Linked DNA regions of Nothobranchius furzeri. The protein of the gene in region 2 binds, or shares a complex with, the protein of the main gene of each other region. Links are inferred from orthologs where the notes say so. Each region holds a gene or a part of one and is shown on either strand. Other genes may lie near its edges.

Evidence for each region. Proteins that work in one complex are often made in the same cells at the same time.
Region 1: the proteins of nelfcd (region 2) and nelfa are in contact, whole or in part, in a crystal structure (PDB 5L3X), measured with the Homo sapiens proteins. The link is inferred for Nothobranchius furzeri from reciprocal best matches to the Homo sapiens genes NELFCD and NELFA. Residues at the interface, in XP_047296144.1 of Homo sapiens: Cys204, Gln205, Gln206, Leu207, Glu208, Phe210, Ser211, Leu214, Arg215, Leu218, Ala219, Ile221, Leu222, Asp223, Gly225, Glu226, Cys241, His242, Gly243, Glu244, His245, Thr246, Tyr247, Leu248, Phe249, Ala252, Met253, Ser255, Val256, Leu257; in NP_005654.4 of Homo sapiens: Leu23, Trp24, Ala25, Leu54, Leu58, Leu61, His62, Arg65, Pro88, Trp89, Met92, Val93, Ile96, Leu97, Phe100, Gly104, Ser105, Leu106, Leu108, Leu110, Asn116, Val117, Asp119, Ile120, Leu121, Glu123, Leu124, Arg125, Lys127, Val128.

The regions. Positions count from the first base shown.
Region 1 is NC_091742.1:60,234,622-60,242,728, forward strand, and holds the end of nelfa (negative elongation factor A), read right to left. Parts: intron 3,732-8,107; coding exon 3,547-3,731; 3' UTR 3,177-3,546; downstream 1-3,176. Other genes in the region: faah2b (fatty-acid amide hydrolase 2-B), read left to right, coding at 2,081-2,192, 2,299-2,487, 2,557-2,732. UniProt on the Homo sapiens protein: Essential component of the NELF complex, a complex that negatively regulates the elongation of transcription by RNA polymerase II.
Region 2 is NC_091743.1:48,863,776-48,871,642, reverse strand, and holds part of nelfcd (negative elongation factor C/D), read left to right. Parts: intron 1-418; coding exon 419-558; intron 559-4,300; coding exon 4,301-4,415; intron 4,416-4,503; coding exon 4,504-4,599; intron 4,600-4,677; coding exon 4,678-4,818; intron 4,819-4,986; coding exon 4,987-5,116; intron 5,117-7,867. UniProt on the Homo sapiens protein: Essential component of the NELF complex, a complex that negatively regulates the elongation of transcription by RNA polymerase II.

The sequences.
Region 1 (8,107 bases), on a different chromosome or scaffold from region 2:
TCCTTTTGGCCTTCTCCTGGTTGGACGTGTCCGGAACACCTCACCAGGGAGGCGTCCAGGAGGCAGCCTTACCAGATGTTCGAGCCACCTCAACTGACTCCTCTCGATATGGGGAAGCAACAGGTCTACTCCGAGCCCCTCCCGGATGACTGAGTTTCTCACTCCCTATCTCTAAGGGAGAGCCCAGCCACCCTGAGGAGAAAACTCATTTTGGCTGCTTGTACTCATTCTCATTCTTTCGGTCACTACCCAAAGCTCGTGACCATAGGTGAGGGTAGGAATGTAGATCGACCGGTAAATCGAAAGCTTTGCCTTCAGGCGATCAGTTCTCTCTTCAACACGACAGATTGAACAACACCCACAGTACTGCAGATGCAGCACCAATCCACCTATCGATCTCACGCTCCAGTTTTCCCTCACTCGTGAACAAAGACCCTGAGATACTTAAACTCCTCTACTTGGGGCAGGACCTCGTGAATTGAATCTTAACTTGAAATCAAAGATAACTCCTAGGTTTCGTGGGCTAAGCTTGGCTTGTTGGCATTCAGAACAAGAAAGTGGCTGGACTATCAGTTACTGATCTACATCAGAGGACAGAGGTGGCCATACTGAAGCACATGTACAGCTGAATATTATGAACTTAGAAGTGATGTCTGAGAAATAACGAATGACGGTAGTTAAAGCCCAGCAAACGTGCCTGTTAGGGCCCCCGTGTGGCATCTTTCTGGGCAAAAACAAGGCCCACAAAGGATTGTCCACAGTAGGACCCACAGCTGTCGTGAAATGTAGGGCACATGCGGGCCCCATCATTTGGGGCCATGTAGGGGCCCAACAGGCTTTGGCCTGCATATGTGGCCCTTCATTGTGGGGACCTCTTGTGCCTTGCATGTCACGGCGGTACCCTTGCCTGCACAAGTGTGTTTCCCACTGTGGCCTCTTTCCTTGGAGCCCTCATGTGCCCCGCATTTCACGGCGGTGATCCCCACGTAATCATAACATCTCCCTCTGTTGCGCCATGGCGCAATCACCGTAGACGTCTACTGCAATACCATCAAGCGAGACATAACGAATGCTGCAAAATTCACGCAACGCCATGTCGGCATGGCGAGTTTATAAGACACACCGTAGTAGTAATGTTACACTAATTTTACAGCATGGTGTGTCTTGAAAAAATGGCTTATGCTGTATAAATCATTTAGTTTAATTTTCATGGTAATATAGAAATAAAATAATGGAGGTCCTAGAACAGAGCCTTGTGGGACCCCACAGTCCCTGAGGAAATGGTTTCAGCCTTCACTGAGAAACCTCAGTTTGAAAGATAATCAGAGAGCCTGTCTAATGTAGAACCAGAGATGGAAACCAGAAAATGTAGCCTGTTCAATAGGATGTTGTGATCCACTGTGTCCAAAGTCTCATTGAGGTCCAGCAGAACCACGATAGAGCCTTCCTGCTTCTGCAGCCATCAGATGATTGTAGACCTTTACCAGAGCAGTCTCTGTCCAGTGCTGCTTCAGGAAACATGACTGGAGAGGCTCTGAGAGCTTGCCATTAGAGAACCAGAATCTGAGATGATATCATGGACTTTACTGAAAAATTAATTGGCGAGTGTGTTGGTCAGCTTGTTGGTGGTTAACTGCCTCTCCGGTTAATAAGGCTAACAGGAAGCAGGTCTCTTAGTCACAGCCCTTATTGTAGTCTGCTGCCCAGAAATCCCCCTAATCTCCTTAGCTGCCAGCCTCTATACCACACAAATAAAACACACACACACACACACATACCAAACCCGTGCAAGCCCAGCACTTCTGAAAACACGTCATTTCTTGTCAACAGAAGTTCCTCTAATTTAAACAATTTGCTTTATTTGTCCAACTAGAGTCGAGGCCTCTCTGTGTGGTTTTATCTTCAGTTTGACACCCTCTCTTGTTTACTCTGAAGCCCGTAGGTTAATCCCTTAAATTATTTTCACATCCTTGCAATGACTTCTTGGTGTGAAACAAGTGTTGGAACATTGAAGAAATGATCACGATTTCCACAAGCTTGGACTCATAAATGGATGCTAAATGTTTGTCTCCTCCTTCAGCCTCCTGTGGCCTTCACTGAGCTGATGGGGGAACCTGGTCGACCAAAGTGGCCGTTCTGGGAGCTGCTGAAATGGATGATGGGAAAATCGGACCATACGATGGCCGCCATCAGTAAGAAAAACAATTGTCTGACATTTGTTAGTGCTTCAGTTTTTAGATGTATGTCAAGCTGTGGCTGTCAGTAGCTAACCTGAGAACTGACTTGTTTTCTCTTCAGCCGTGGGCCTCATGGAAAAGACGCGCTTGTCTAAATCAACATCCTTGGCCATCCAGCAAAAAGAAAAGCTGCAGGAGGAGCTCGACAAGCTGCTCGCACATGACGGTGTTTTACTTTACCCCTCACACCCCAGAGTGGCACCCAAACACCACAACCCGCTCTTCAGACCTTTTGACTTCGCCTACACCGGTTAGTGACCCAGATTTAGCAAAAGATGCAGATTAAAGTGATCACGAACTTGGTTCTCTCATCCATCAGGTATCATGAACATCCTGGGGCTACCGGTGACCCAGTGTCCTCTGGGTCTGGGTGAGGAGGGCCTGCCTCTGGGGGTGCAGGTCGTCTCTGGAAAGCTGCAGGACCATCTGACCCTCGCTGTGGCTTGCTACTTGGAGAAGACGTTTGGAGGATGGAGGGACCCTGGAGCAAAATAATATCAATCACAGAGGATCTGCATTCCTGTCAGAGCAATGAATGTTCAAGTGGAGCAAATTTTTGCGCCAATAGGAATCTTTCATTTCATATTTCATCAGATAAGGAAAAGTGGAAAGTGTCACTTTAGCACAAGATTTGTGAATTTTTGCACTCAGATTACAGCTCAGGCTGAGCATTTGTTTCCACCTGGGTTTTTTATTCATTTAACCATCAAAAATATATATATTCTGCTCAGATTACAGTCGAATCATTTAGATATCAAATGTGAGCAGCACACATTTACTTACAATAACTGACCAGAACGCTTAAAAAGATTAAATTAAGACATCCACCGAGCCAAAAACAGGACAGCTGTGGCTGAAAGCGAGGATAAAAATGATCATGAATGTTTTATAACCGGTTTGATGTTGAAACTCATTTTAGTTAATAAAAAGTGGACTCACTGACCATGTAGTGATCTTTTATTTCATTTTGGTCGCCTCTAATGATGAATATCATCACTGCTGTTGGGTTGAAAACATTTGACATAAAAATGCACGCAGCTGCTCTTTGCTACCTCAGCAGCACAAACACTCTCTCTGCTCCCTCAACCCCCTGGAGCCGGCTCACTCATGAGATGATTGGAAAAAAAAAATCAATTAAAGGGCAAGTAAAAACAAACAAAAATAAGTTCTCCATTTTGGTGGCGTAGTAAAAGGGAGAATCTTTCTCTCCTCGACAGCCTCTCAGAAGTGGATTTGGCCCAAATGTCAGCGAATACTCGTACGTGTGCCTAAACATGTTCTGGGTGGTGGACTGAGCCGGCGAAGCTCCTCAGGAGGAGTTTGTGATAGGTTTGTATTTCTTCAGACGAGTCCACTGTCCTGTTGAATAGTTCATTTCGAAGACTGTGTCCACCAGCATGGTGGTGCTGCCGGTGCCGTCCGCCTTGGGCAGAACCTCTGTGTGCTCGCTCAGCTTGATCTGGATGATGTCGCCCTGCTCTGGGCATGGGTTCTCTGCAGGAAACACAAGGAGGTTCACTTGATTTCCCGCTACAGACACGTGTAACACTGAGTGAAAAAGCTGTTTTCTCAGAAGGCACCACCAAGAAGCAGAAATAATGTAATTGCACCTTAAGCCCCTCTCCCTACTTCCGTGATTACAGCTGCAGGAGGCTGCAGAACCAGACATCTGCAACCACAGATGCTCATCCCGTGTGATAACACTGCTATCCTGGCATTTTTGCTGTCTGTACACACGTGCATCTTTTAGTGTTGGCTGGGTTAGCTGAATTGATATGAGCAGGGTCAGTCTTTTTTTAAGGTGGCGCAGCAGTACCTTTTCCACCAGGTTAAATGCCACATTACACTCCCTTTGCTGTTCATTTGAAAGCATAACCGCAATTACAGACATTTTATCTCTCGAGATGAAAACTATGGTCTGTGTTAGCCAACTGCTACATGGTATTGTGTACAAATTCCCCATCTACCTTAAATTGTGCAACTTCTGCTGTTGTCTGTGAAACAAAGAATACTGATATAGAAGCTTGTCGATTTGAAAACTGAGCCATTGTTTTTTCCATTTTAAATTCATCCCGAGAAAGAGATTTTCAAAGTAACATTTTTTTGTTTTAAATGGTTGAATCCGATTTTTCCCACCGATTCTGATTTCCTGAATTATAATTTTATATAAAGACTTACCCCAGCTTTCCACTGGATGTGTAAACGGCGCGTAATTTAATACACGTTTTACACACAAAACGGTATCAAAATCGTTCCTCGCAGAAGATCGCAACAACCAGAGAACTGCAAGCTCACACGTGATTTCAACAAATCACGTGATAAGCAAACAGAAAGATGGCTGCATGTAGCCAAAGGTCTGGTTCGTTTTTTGTTCCGTTCACCTCGGCTACGGAGGGGTCACAGTTGGCACACATCTTTTATTGGTTAAGCAACTAGAAATCTGCATGTGACTTATTTTGAAAGTGTCCGGATGTTTTACGCGGCTTTCGTGTTTGGCTTCCTGTCTGGTCCTATCTGAACTACTTAGCTTGACACATTCTGGAAGCTTCATCGTCGTTCCCGGACCAGATTGGAGATGTAACCCCTCCAACGTGTCCTGGGTCGACCCGGGGGCCTCCTGCCGGCAGGACATGCCCGAAACACCTCCCCGGGGAGGCGTCCAGGAGGCATCCTGACCAGATGCCCAATCCACCTCAACTGGCTCCTTTCAATCCGGAGGAGCAGCGGTTCTACTCCGAGTCCCTCCCGAATGTCCGAGCTCCTCACCCTATCTCTAAGGCTGAGCCCGGCCACCCTACGGAGGAAACTCATTTCGGCCGCTTGTATCCGCGATCTCGTTCTTTCGGTCATTACCCAAAGCTCATGACCATAGGTGAGGATTGGGACGTAGATCGACCGGTAAATCGAGAGCCTGGCTTTCTGGCTCAGCTCCCTCTTCACCACGACAGATCGGCTCAGCGTCCGCATCACTGCAGACGCCGAACCAATCCGCCTGTCGATCTCCCGATCCCTCCTACCCTCACTCGTGAACAAGACCCCGAGATACTCAAACTCCTCCACTTGAGGTAGGACCTCTCTCTCGACCCGGAGTTGGCAACCCACCCTTTCCCGGTCGAGAACCATGGTCTCAGATTTGGAGGTGCTGATCCTCATCCCAGCCGCTTCACACTCAACCGTGAACCTACCCAGCAAGAGCTGAAGGTCAGAGCTGGATGAAGCTAGGAGGACCACTTCATCCGCAAAAAGCAGAGACAAGATTCTCCTGCCACCAAACTGGACACACTCACCACGGCAGAGTGGATTCTGGAAGCTTAACGTGCAAAAATTTATTCAAAGTAGGGGCTGCATGACTTAATTTTTTTTTTAAGTCAACCATCAAGTAATGAAAATCAAGTCGACTGCTCCACAGTAGCGAAACGCATCAGACACAAATAAAAGACAGAAAACATCAAAGGAAATGAGCCGACATGAACGATCGCGTGTTAAATTAGTTTTTGAGGTGGCGACACCTGATTTGATAATGTTACTGTGGCCGTGCTCAGGACGCAGATGTCTGGAGCGCATCAACAATCAGAGCTTTGCATGCGCAAGCTGGTTAAGGTTAGGATGGGGGTGAGGGGAAGGTTAAATTGCGTAAAGGTCACAATCTGGTTAAATGTCCGTTTTACGGTGGGCGTAAGATACCGACCCTCTGGCACAGCGCGTCGTATCGGACGCGCAGGGGCTCATCACCTGCTGTCTTTTCCAAGGACTGCATCTTGTCGGTCATTAACACGTGGCAGCGACTAGTCTATGACAGGCATAACAAGTCACTACAGAGCAGTGAGGTCGACTAGTTGACTACTAGTTGACACAACCACTAATTCAAAGCGTAAGTTTAGTAGAGCCGCGCAAAGCTACGATTCTGGGGCGTGTCCAAAATGCGATGCCTTGTGCCTGCTGGAAACACACCCATCCACGATAACGATGGCTAATTGCTGCGTACTACTTTCTGTTATGTCCATAAGAAACATCACCATCTCTGCATCAGTCTACAGGTGCTGGCCAGTAAATTAGAATATCATCAAAAGGTTGAAAATATTTCAGTAATTCCATTCAAAACGTGAAACTTGTACATTATATTCATGCAATGCACACAGACCAATGTATTTCCGATGTTTATTACGTTTAATTTTGATATTTATAGGTGACAACCAATGAAAACATCAAATCTGGTATCTCAGAAAATTAGAATATTCTAAAGGCCAATGAAAAAATGTTTGTTTCTCTAATGTTGGCCAACTGAAAAGAATGAACATGAAAAGAATGTGCATGTATAGCACTCAATACTTAGTCGGGGCTCCATTTGCCTCAATAACTGCAGTAATGCGGCGTGGCATGTACTCGATCAGTCTGTGGCACTGCTCAGGTGTTATGAGAGCCCAGGTTTCTCTGATAGTCGTCTTCAGCTCCTCTGCATTGTTGGGTCTAGCGTATTGCATCCTCCGCTTCACAATACCCCATAGATTTTCTATGGGGTTAAGGTCAGGCGAGTTTGCTGGCCAATCAAGGACAGGGATACCATGGTCCTTGAACCAGGTGCTGGTGGTTTTGGCACTGTGTGCAGGTGCCAAGTCCTGTTGAAAGGTGAAGTCTGCATCCCCATAAAGTTGGTCAGCAGCAGGAAGCATGAAGTGCTCTAAAACTTCCTGGTAGACGGCTGCATTGACCCTGGACCTCAGGAAACAGAGTGGGCCAACACCGGCAGATGACATGGCACCCCACACCATCACTGACGGTGGAAACTTTACACTGGACCTCATGCAACGTGGATTCTGTGCTTCTCCGCTCTTCCTCCAGACTCTGGGTCCTTGATTTCCAAAGGAAATGCAGAACTTGCTTTCATCAGAAAACATAACTTTGGACCACTCAGCATCAGTCCAGTCCTTTTTGTCCTTGGCCCAGGCGAGACGCTTCTTGCGCTGTTTCATGTTCAAGAGTGGCTTGACACACGGAATGCGACACCTGAATCCCATGTCTTTCATGAGTCTCCTCGTGGTGGTTCTTGAAGCGCTGACTCCAGCTGCAGTCCACTCTTTGTGGATCTCCCCCACATTTTTGAATGGGTTTGTCGTCACAATTCTCTGCAGGGTGCGGTTATCCCTAGAGCTTGTACACTTTTTTCTACCACATTTTTTCCGTCCCTTCGCCTGTCTGTTAATGTGCTTGGACACAGAGCTCTGCGAACAGCCAGCTTCTTTAGCAATCACCTTTTGTGTCTTGCCCTCCTTGTGCAAGGTGTCAATGATTGTCTTTTGGACAGCTGTTAAGTCAGAAGTCTTCCCCATGATTGTGGTGCCTTCAAAACAAGAGTGAGGGACCTTTTAAAGGCCTTTGCAGGTGTTTTGAGTAAATCAGCTGATTAGAGTGGCAGCAGGTGTCTTCTATATTCAGCCTTTTCAGAATATTCTAATTTTTTGAGATACCAAATTTGGAGTTTTCATTAGTTGTCACTTATGAATATCAAATTTAAATGTAATGAACATTGGAAATACATTGGTCTGTGTGCATTGCATGAATATAATGTACAAGTTTCACGTTTTGAATGGAATTACTGAAATATTTTCAACCTTTTGATGATATTCTAATTTACTGGCCAGCACCTGTAGGTACTTCTGCACACATACACGCCCGCTCATCTGTAGGTAAGTGGGCGTCTGGCACATTGACTAATGCTGAGCGGATCTCCATTCAAATTGCATTAGGCTCTATGGGACGGGGGACGAGGTTAGCAATAAATAAATAAAGATGTATTGGCTACATTATACCACAGTACAAGGTCAGACCATAACTTTTACAGATTTCTAAAAAAAACAAACAATCATACATCA
Region 2 (7,867 bases):
AACCTCGTCCTTCGTCTGTGGTCTTCCGCAAGGAGCAGTAATTCCGCTTGCAAAAACAAACAAGCAGAAAGCGCTTGGACAATTGATGGATCGGGTAGTGACAGAGCACAGCTTTGAGGGCATCCATGATGCCGGCTAGTGTAAGCACAGTTCGCACACGTGATGTCAGCATTTTTTGTCGCGGAAAGTGACGTTGCGGACCTTAAAACTCCGGTTTTGTCTGTCCACACGCAGACACCCAAAACGGAGAAAACGCAGATCTTCACTTTGGCCGGAGTTTTTAAAAAGATCCGTTTTCGTGTGGATGACAGGCCAAAACGTAGAAAAATATCTACGTTTTGGCAGATCCCTGGCTACATGTGGACAGGGCCTGAGACTGCAGTCTTCCTAACGTTTTAACCCTCTGTCTTAATACCAGAACAAGCGAGTCAACATCAATAAAGATGAGCTGAAATCAACTTCCAAGGCCATAGAGACCGTTCACAACCTGTGCTGCAATGAGAACAAAGGAGCTACAGAACTGGTGGCTGAACTCAGCACCTTGTACCAGTGCATCAGGTCGGTCTAAAGGGAACACTGTTGAGTAAAGGATGATGGATTACAGCTTAGTGGCACTGTTGAAAGTAACGTATTGCAAAAGTAATGGCTTATAGGAATATGTTGCTTTTTTCAATAATACAATATCAGTAACTCAAGTTATATTAAGTGCTTTCAAAATGATTTGCATTGATATACGGATTAAAACATGCTAAAAGCTCTTCTAAAAATGCTACTGTTGTGAGTAGGGATGTTCAACATTATCGGTCACATATACATCAAACTCTTCAGCTATTCTCTCAAAATGTCAAAATATGACAGATCTGAGTAGGGGTAGACCGACATATCAGTTGGCTGATGTATCGAGCCGATGTTTACCGGTTTTTATACATCAGCATCGGCCGATATTTGTCCTTTAATAAAGCCAATTTAAAGTCAGGCACATCCTTGGGCAGCCTGGTGCTGTTGCAGGATTTAATTTAAATGTATTTTTACGTTCACTATTAACTTCTGCATAATAAATACTCTAAATTAACTTTATTTAGGTGTCTGACTTTAACACATATCAGTAATAGAAAAAAAATAACAGTCAACCTCTAGATCTGAAGATACTGTAGTTTTTTCTGTTTGTGGAGTAGTAGTTGGGATCTGCTGTCCTCACAGCACATGGCTACGCTACAGCAAACAAACAAAAACTAAAATCTTCACACAAAGTTTGCTTTTCTCTTCTGAACATCTTTATAAATGTTTTATCACCATAGCTTCAATATAATAACATAATAAGTAAGAGCACATTATTACTAACTAATGCACACTTCTTGGCGTCACACTTAGGGAGAATGAGATTCAGATGCAATATGTCACTTTTCCTATGAATAACTTAAATTGAAGTAGTTGTCATTTTGCACAGAAAATATTTAAAGTTTAATCATTGGAGATATGTGATGATGGCAACCTAAAATGTTTTATTTTTATTTATTTTTTTATGACAGAGGGACACAGCAAATATTGGTATCAGTGTCTGAAATTATGAGTTAGACCAGGGATTCCCAAAGTGTGGTGCGCGCACCCCCGGGGGTGCGCGAGCTGCCACTAGGGGGTGCGCAAGGTGAAAAGTGTAATGGCTGCGGAGCTCAGAGAAGTCTGTCAGATGTCACCTTTAACGTAGCCAGAAACTCATTTGTGGGTGGGCCAAAGAAATAGTAAGAGGGCACAATAAATTTAATTGAAAACAAGTATATTTTTGCGTGTGTGTCCTCCACATGTGCCCTAACTTCATAATAACAATGCGCCGAGCTTCAGCACTCTGGCCTGCGCACGCCGATATGTTCCGTATTTGATCATTTTTAACGGTGTTGGAGAAATCTGAAGGTGGCGAGTCATTCTGGCAGATTGTAATTAACACCCTGTCTCATGCAGGTGTTCTGACATTGTAAACCTCACACACAGAACATTGTGGATGTAACTAAATAAATCAAGAAATTATTCCCATCCAGGCTACTAAAAGCGCGCTGAAGATCTGAAGTTCAGAGTGTGTCTGTCAGATCAGATGCGTTCCAGCGGCTCTCGGGTGCACAAGTGAGCACATCTGGGCTGGGCAGAAGTTTAAATAGCACCAATAACGAGACGCAGTGACTTAAACTCTGCAAGTTGTGAAGCGCGTTCCATCCGCCAGCCGCATCACCAAGCGGAAAGTGAATGCGTCAAGCATAAACCAAGCTTCATGGAGCTGTGCCCTGCGCACGCACACACACACACACACACACACACACACACACACACACACACACACACACACACACACACACACAGAGATTCAATAAGCACGCACGCCGCGCAAACTCCGGCGCGCCGTCAGACTGAAGACAGAAATGAGCGCTGCCTCCTCTGTGATAAAAACTTTTAAGAGGTTTTATAACATTTTTCATTCAAGGTCAAATTAAGATATTAGCTTCTATTTTGGGATGACGTATTAAAGTCGGGTCCGCTCCAGCCAGTGACTCCGAACCTGAACTCATGCAGCATTTGTTATTCTGGTCCACGTGGCAGCGGATCGCAGATTCAGCCACACCATAAAACAGCAATAAGTCGGTCTGAGGTAAAAGTGAACATCATGGCTATATCTTGTCCCCTATTGACATTTGATTACGCACAAGTAGGTGACCAGCTCAGGTTTACGCAGAGCAGAAGGAAGGAGAGCGCTCTGGCCGCACAGGTTAAACGTTCCTACTTTAAGAAAACTGTTAAATTGCATTGTTTATGTGCTACCTGGGCACTCTAAATATTTATTTAAAATTAAATCAAAGGAAATTGTAATGGTATCGAATGCTTTTTAATTACTATTTAAAAACGAAAGTGATGGGGAAAAAGGTCGATCATATTTTTTTAACCCTGTCTGTTTAGCTTGACCTCTGATATATATATATATATATATATATATATATATATATATATATATATAGCCATGCCCTGATGTGGGGGCTGGGGGGGTGCGTCGACATGGTTGGGACATAGAAGGGGGTGCGCGGCTAAATAAGTTTGGGAACCGCTGAGTTAGACAATATCGGTTTTAAAGCCAATATCACGCATCCCTAATTGTGAGATAACTTATTGTTTATAGTGGGTTTCCAATGCCACCTGGCGAGCAAGAATAACAATGCAATGTGGATAAGCAGTTTATATAGTTAACCTGGTTGTACAAGTGGCGACCTAAAAAATGGTCACAAATATAAGTAGTTGCTCCTCTTTGTCTCAACCCTCCCACTGTCTTTATGGATGACCCCGCGAGGAAAGTTGACCATTGAGCAGGATTGATGGTTTATTCCTTGAGGTCCACGTGGCAGGAGTGAGGAGTGAGCACCACCTCACCCCTGCCACGTGGACCTCAAGGGATCAACCATCAATCCTGCTCAATGGTCAACTTTCCTCACGGGGCCACACCCATTAGGACAGTGGGAGGGTTAAAGCTGCAATGGCAAATTTGGAAAACAAAGGAGCTTAAAACATTTTAACAATGTTCTAATGTACTTTAGCTATAAATATACTTTGGAGATTAAAAAGAAAGAAAGAAACAAATTAAATTGGTCTCGCCAAACCGCCACACTTCCTTGGGCTCTCCATTCATTACACACTCACCTATTTAGCACTAGAACTCCACTGGTGTGAGAGGTTCTCCACTCAATAATATCAGAGAAGGAGAAACAGCCGGTTGTTAGGACAAACTACTAGAGTCCTAAAAAGAAAAACACCATTTGAAGTCACGGACAACAAAAGATGTTTGGACCTAGAAAACAGCGACTGGTGTTTAGTGCTATCTAGTTTGCTCCGGCATCGCGGGATTCCGGTTCCAGTAGAAACGTCTCAGGGAAGATACCCAAGGGGAGGGATTAGTGATTGATGACCGTGCAGATTAGCTATGAAGTATCTAGTTGGAGTTAAGCAGCTTTTATGAAAAAAGCTTTTATTGGACATGTTATTGTCATGTGTCTATGCCTATGTAAGTATGTCTGATCTCAGAATTGTGTGTACTGAAACTCTAATTTCCCTCTGGGATTAATAAAGTATCTTTTGAATTTGAATTGAATTTGAAGGCAGTTTGTGACGAGATGTGAGCAAAGTGCCCCTAGAAGTGCGGTTTAATTAGTAAATAATGTTATCTCTCACACATAAGACTCTTTAAACCAGTTTTCTTTTAATCAGTACTCCAATCATTTCAGGATATGTTAATAAGGACGTCTTCACTGGTCCCTGTTGATGTGTTCAGGTTTCCAGTGGTTGCCATGGGAGTTTTAAAGTGGGTGGACTGGACTGTATCAGAGCCACGCTACTTCCAGCTCCAAACGGACCATACTCCCGTTCATTTAGCTTTACTAGATGAGGTACGACAAGATTAGCGGGTGCATGCTATAGTTTCCTTCAATTTAAAGGTGGTGTGAAAATACCAAACATGATATTTCTTCTGCACAGATCTGCACGTGTCACCAGCTGCTACACTCGCAGGTCCTCCAGCTGCTCATCAAGCTCTTTGAGACGGAGCACTCTCAGCTGGACGTCATGGAGCAGGTGGGTTTCTGAGGCACCGTCACGCACAACGTTTCACCTGTCTGATAAAGTCTGAGTGATGCTTTGTTTCTACTGTAGCTGGAGCTGAAGAAGACGCTACTGGACAGAATGGTTCATCTCCTGAGTCGTGGTTACGTCCTTCCTGTCGTCAGTTACATTCGTAAATGTCTGGAGAAACTCAACACGGATATTTCCCTCATTAGATATTTTGTCACTGAGGTAAACGGCCAAGAACATACGCAGGTTGAATAAAATGTTAGTCTGCAGCCAGTCCCAGTGGATAAACACCAACCACACGTCTGTTAGATCACAACGCTAAGCTAGGTACTTAAGTTTGTTCTTTTTTTTCAACTGTGCTTTGCTTTAAACAAAGTTTATCTTTTTAAGGTGTTAGACGTGATCGCACCTCCTTACACTTCCGATTTTGTTCAACTCTTCTTGCCGATCTTGGAGAATGAAAGTATCGCAGGAACAATTCGCACCGAGGGAGAACACGACCCTGTGGCCGAGTTCATTGGTGAGTAAAAACATTTTAATAAACTTATTTACCCAGTCTAGGCTTTTCCTGGCTTTCCACCACATGTGTAATTGTCACATAACACGTGCGAAGCTTAATCTGCAGCTAATAACAGTCAACGCGTGCGTTTCCACTGGGTGTGCAGCGGCGCATCCCAGAAATTGCTAAATTTACTCCCCAGGTGCCTCATGTATCAACCGTACATAGGCACAGATCAACAGCATTTAAAATCTCTACAACTTGTTTGGTTCTTTTGCACTTCAGCAGACAAGTTTTTTTTTTTTCTCGGGTAGAACGCAGGGAATCCCCTCATGTGCTGAGGATGTAGCGTGACCAAACCTGGTTAATTAAATGTAAATGACTGAGAACAGACACGAGCACCTGGGTACGCACAGGTGGGACTTATCAGACGATTGTGGAGAAACATGCATACGAGAGGCCACGGCATGTTTCATAGATCAGGATTTTAACTGTTCGTACGCACATTCTAAATTTCACTCGTAGGAATTTAGGAGTTTCTATGAACGTTTGAATGAGGATCCAGGTCTGTTTTTATACACTTACCCTTTCAAAACATGTCAAGCTCTGCAGTAAAGATCTGACTAGAGAGGAAACCAAACACTGGTGAAATTTCAAAATAAAAGACTTTTACTTAACTAGTAGTGATGCGCCGGTATGAAATTTTTGGGCCGATATCCAATATTAAGATCACTGTTATGGCCGATAACCGATATTTGCCGAGATCGATTTACTGACATTAATGCTTCTAAAATCAGCAGATTTTGTATAGAATGAAAATTATTACAGTTTTTCTCTATTGGTTTGGCTCATTTCATGAAACAGAAATTACATTCTTAAAATAGCATGGACAAACCTCCAAACTTCATTTTATCAAATGGCAAATGCCTTAGTACATGTCTCAATTGTCTCAGTGCATCTTTGCAAATGATTAAGTACCTGTATCCTACAGTTAGCCCACATTTAGCACATTTTCCTAAATGAATAGATCTTGTAGATCTAAACTGATTAGTTGATTCTCAGTCCAATGATCATTCTCTCCAAAACATGTCAGCATGCACAACTGTAATGAAATAGATTAGTTATTTAATGAGCCGTAAGGCGTGGGATTCCATAGGAAATATGAAATCCACCTTACGGATCGATGGGTTATTTAAAGCAGAAGATTGGATCTTTTTATTGCAGGGATTAGATAACCGCTACGTAAGAGACAACAGAAGAGAGAGAGTCAAGTTTAAAAGTTAAGAATTTTATTACTAACTAATTAAACTAGACTGACTTTAAAACTAAATGTATGGTGTAACTAAAGTGGATGAGACGGTGGATGGATGACGTGTGATGTCAAATCAGAACCAACAAATCCGAAGAAGCGATTGTTCTGACGAGAAATGAAGGTGATGTTTTCGCATTAAGCTTTGGTTTGGAAGTTCAGAAACACATGAGACACCATCATGCCGGTCTACCTACCTTTCGTGGAAGTCCTCTGTAGATCAGGAATATCGAGGTCCAGTGGACCCTCTCTGGAACCGAGCCGGTAGGAAAAGCCGCGGTTCCGATCAGACCCTTCTTTGAGTTACTTCCGGGTACACGACAGGTTATTGGCGTCTGGTGAGACCCCCGGTCTGGATGGTTCAGCTTTTATTCTGAAAGGAACTGTTGTCGCTGTTGGAATAGCAACACATTTTTCAGCTTGTCGTTGTTCTTTCAGATGAAGAGTATAGATCAGGATTGGCCACTCGTCACTTTCTCTGGAACGCTTTGAACTGGCGTTAGAGCTGACGTTGCATAGTTTTATACTTCGGATGTTATGGTTTATTGTCGAATGAAAAATTACCAAACACCATCAGAACCACGCCTCCATCAGATCTGTAAGATTCTGATCGGATCAGTGAAAGGAATGTGTTATGTCTTTTAACGCTGCGTGAAATCAGTCCTGTTGGAACACTTAAAGTCACAGTACCTTTATGTTCTATAGGATTATAATAAAGTAATTAATATTTTGATTTCACAGATCGGTCACGTCTTATTTATTGACTAACACTTTGATGGATTAGCTTTAATAAAATAGAGTTCTTTGATTAATTAAAAGAAAAGAGTTCATTCTTCGTTCTTCTGTTGAGCTGAAAATAAGCAGGTTAGAAGGAATGCATGAGACCTTGAGACCAAATGTCATGCAGACTAGTCTTGAGCAAAGAAGGGAAAAACACTGTCATTCCATTCCATTACAACGACTGTCTGTTCAATTGTCATAATTGGTCAAGAACATGATACCATGAATACTATATATGGATTTCTTTGAATATTTGATACATTGATGACAGTCATTGACAGTCAGGTGATACTAGACCAGTGGTTCCCAAACTTATTTAGCCGCGCACCCCCTTCTATGTGTCGACCATGTCGACGCACCCCCCCCCCCCCCACACACACACACACATCACGGCATGGCTATATATATATATATATATATATATATAATCAGACGTCAAGCTAAACAGACAGGGTTAAAAAATATGATCGACCTTTTTCCCCATCACTTTCATTTTTTAAATAGTAATTAATAAACATTCGATACCATTACAATTTCCTTTGATTTAATTTTAAATAAATATTTAGAGAGCCCAGGTAGCACATAAACAATGCAATTTAACGGTTTTCTTAAAGTAGGAACGTTTAACCTGTGCGGCCAGAGCGATCTCCTTCCTTCTGCTCTGCGTAAACTGGCCATACTTG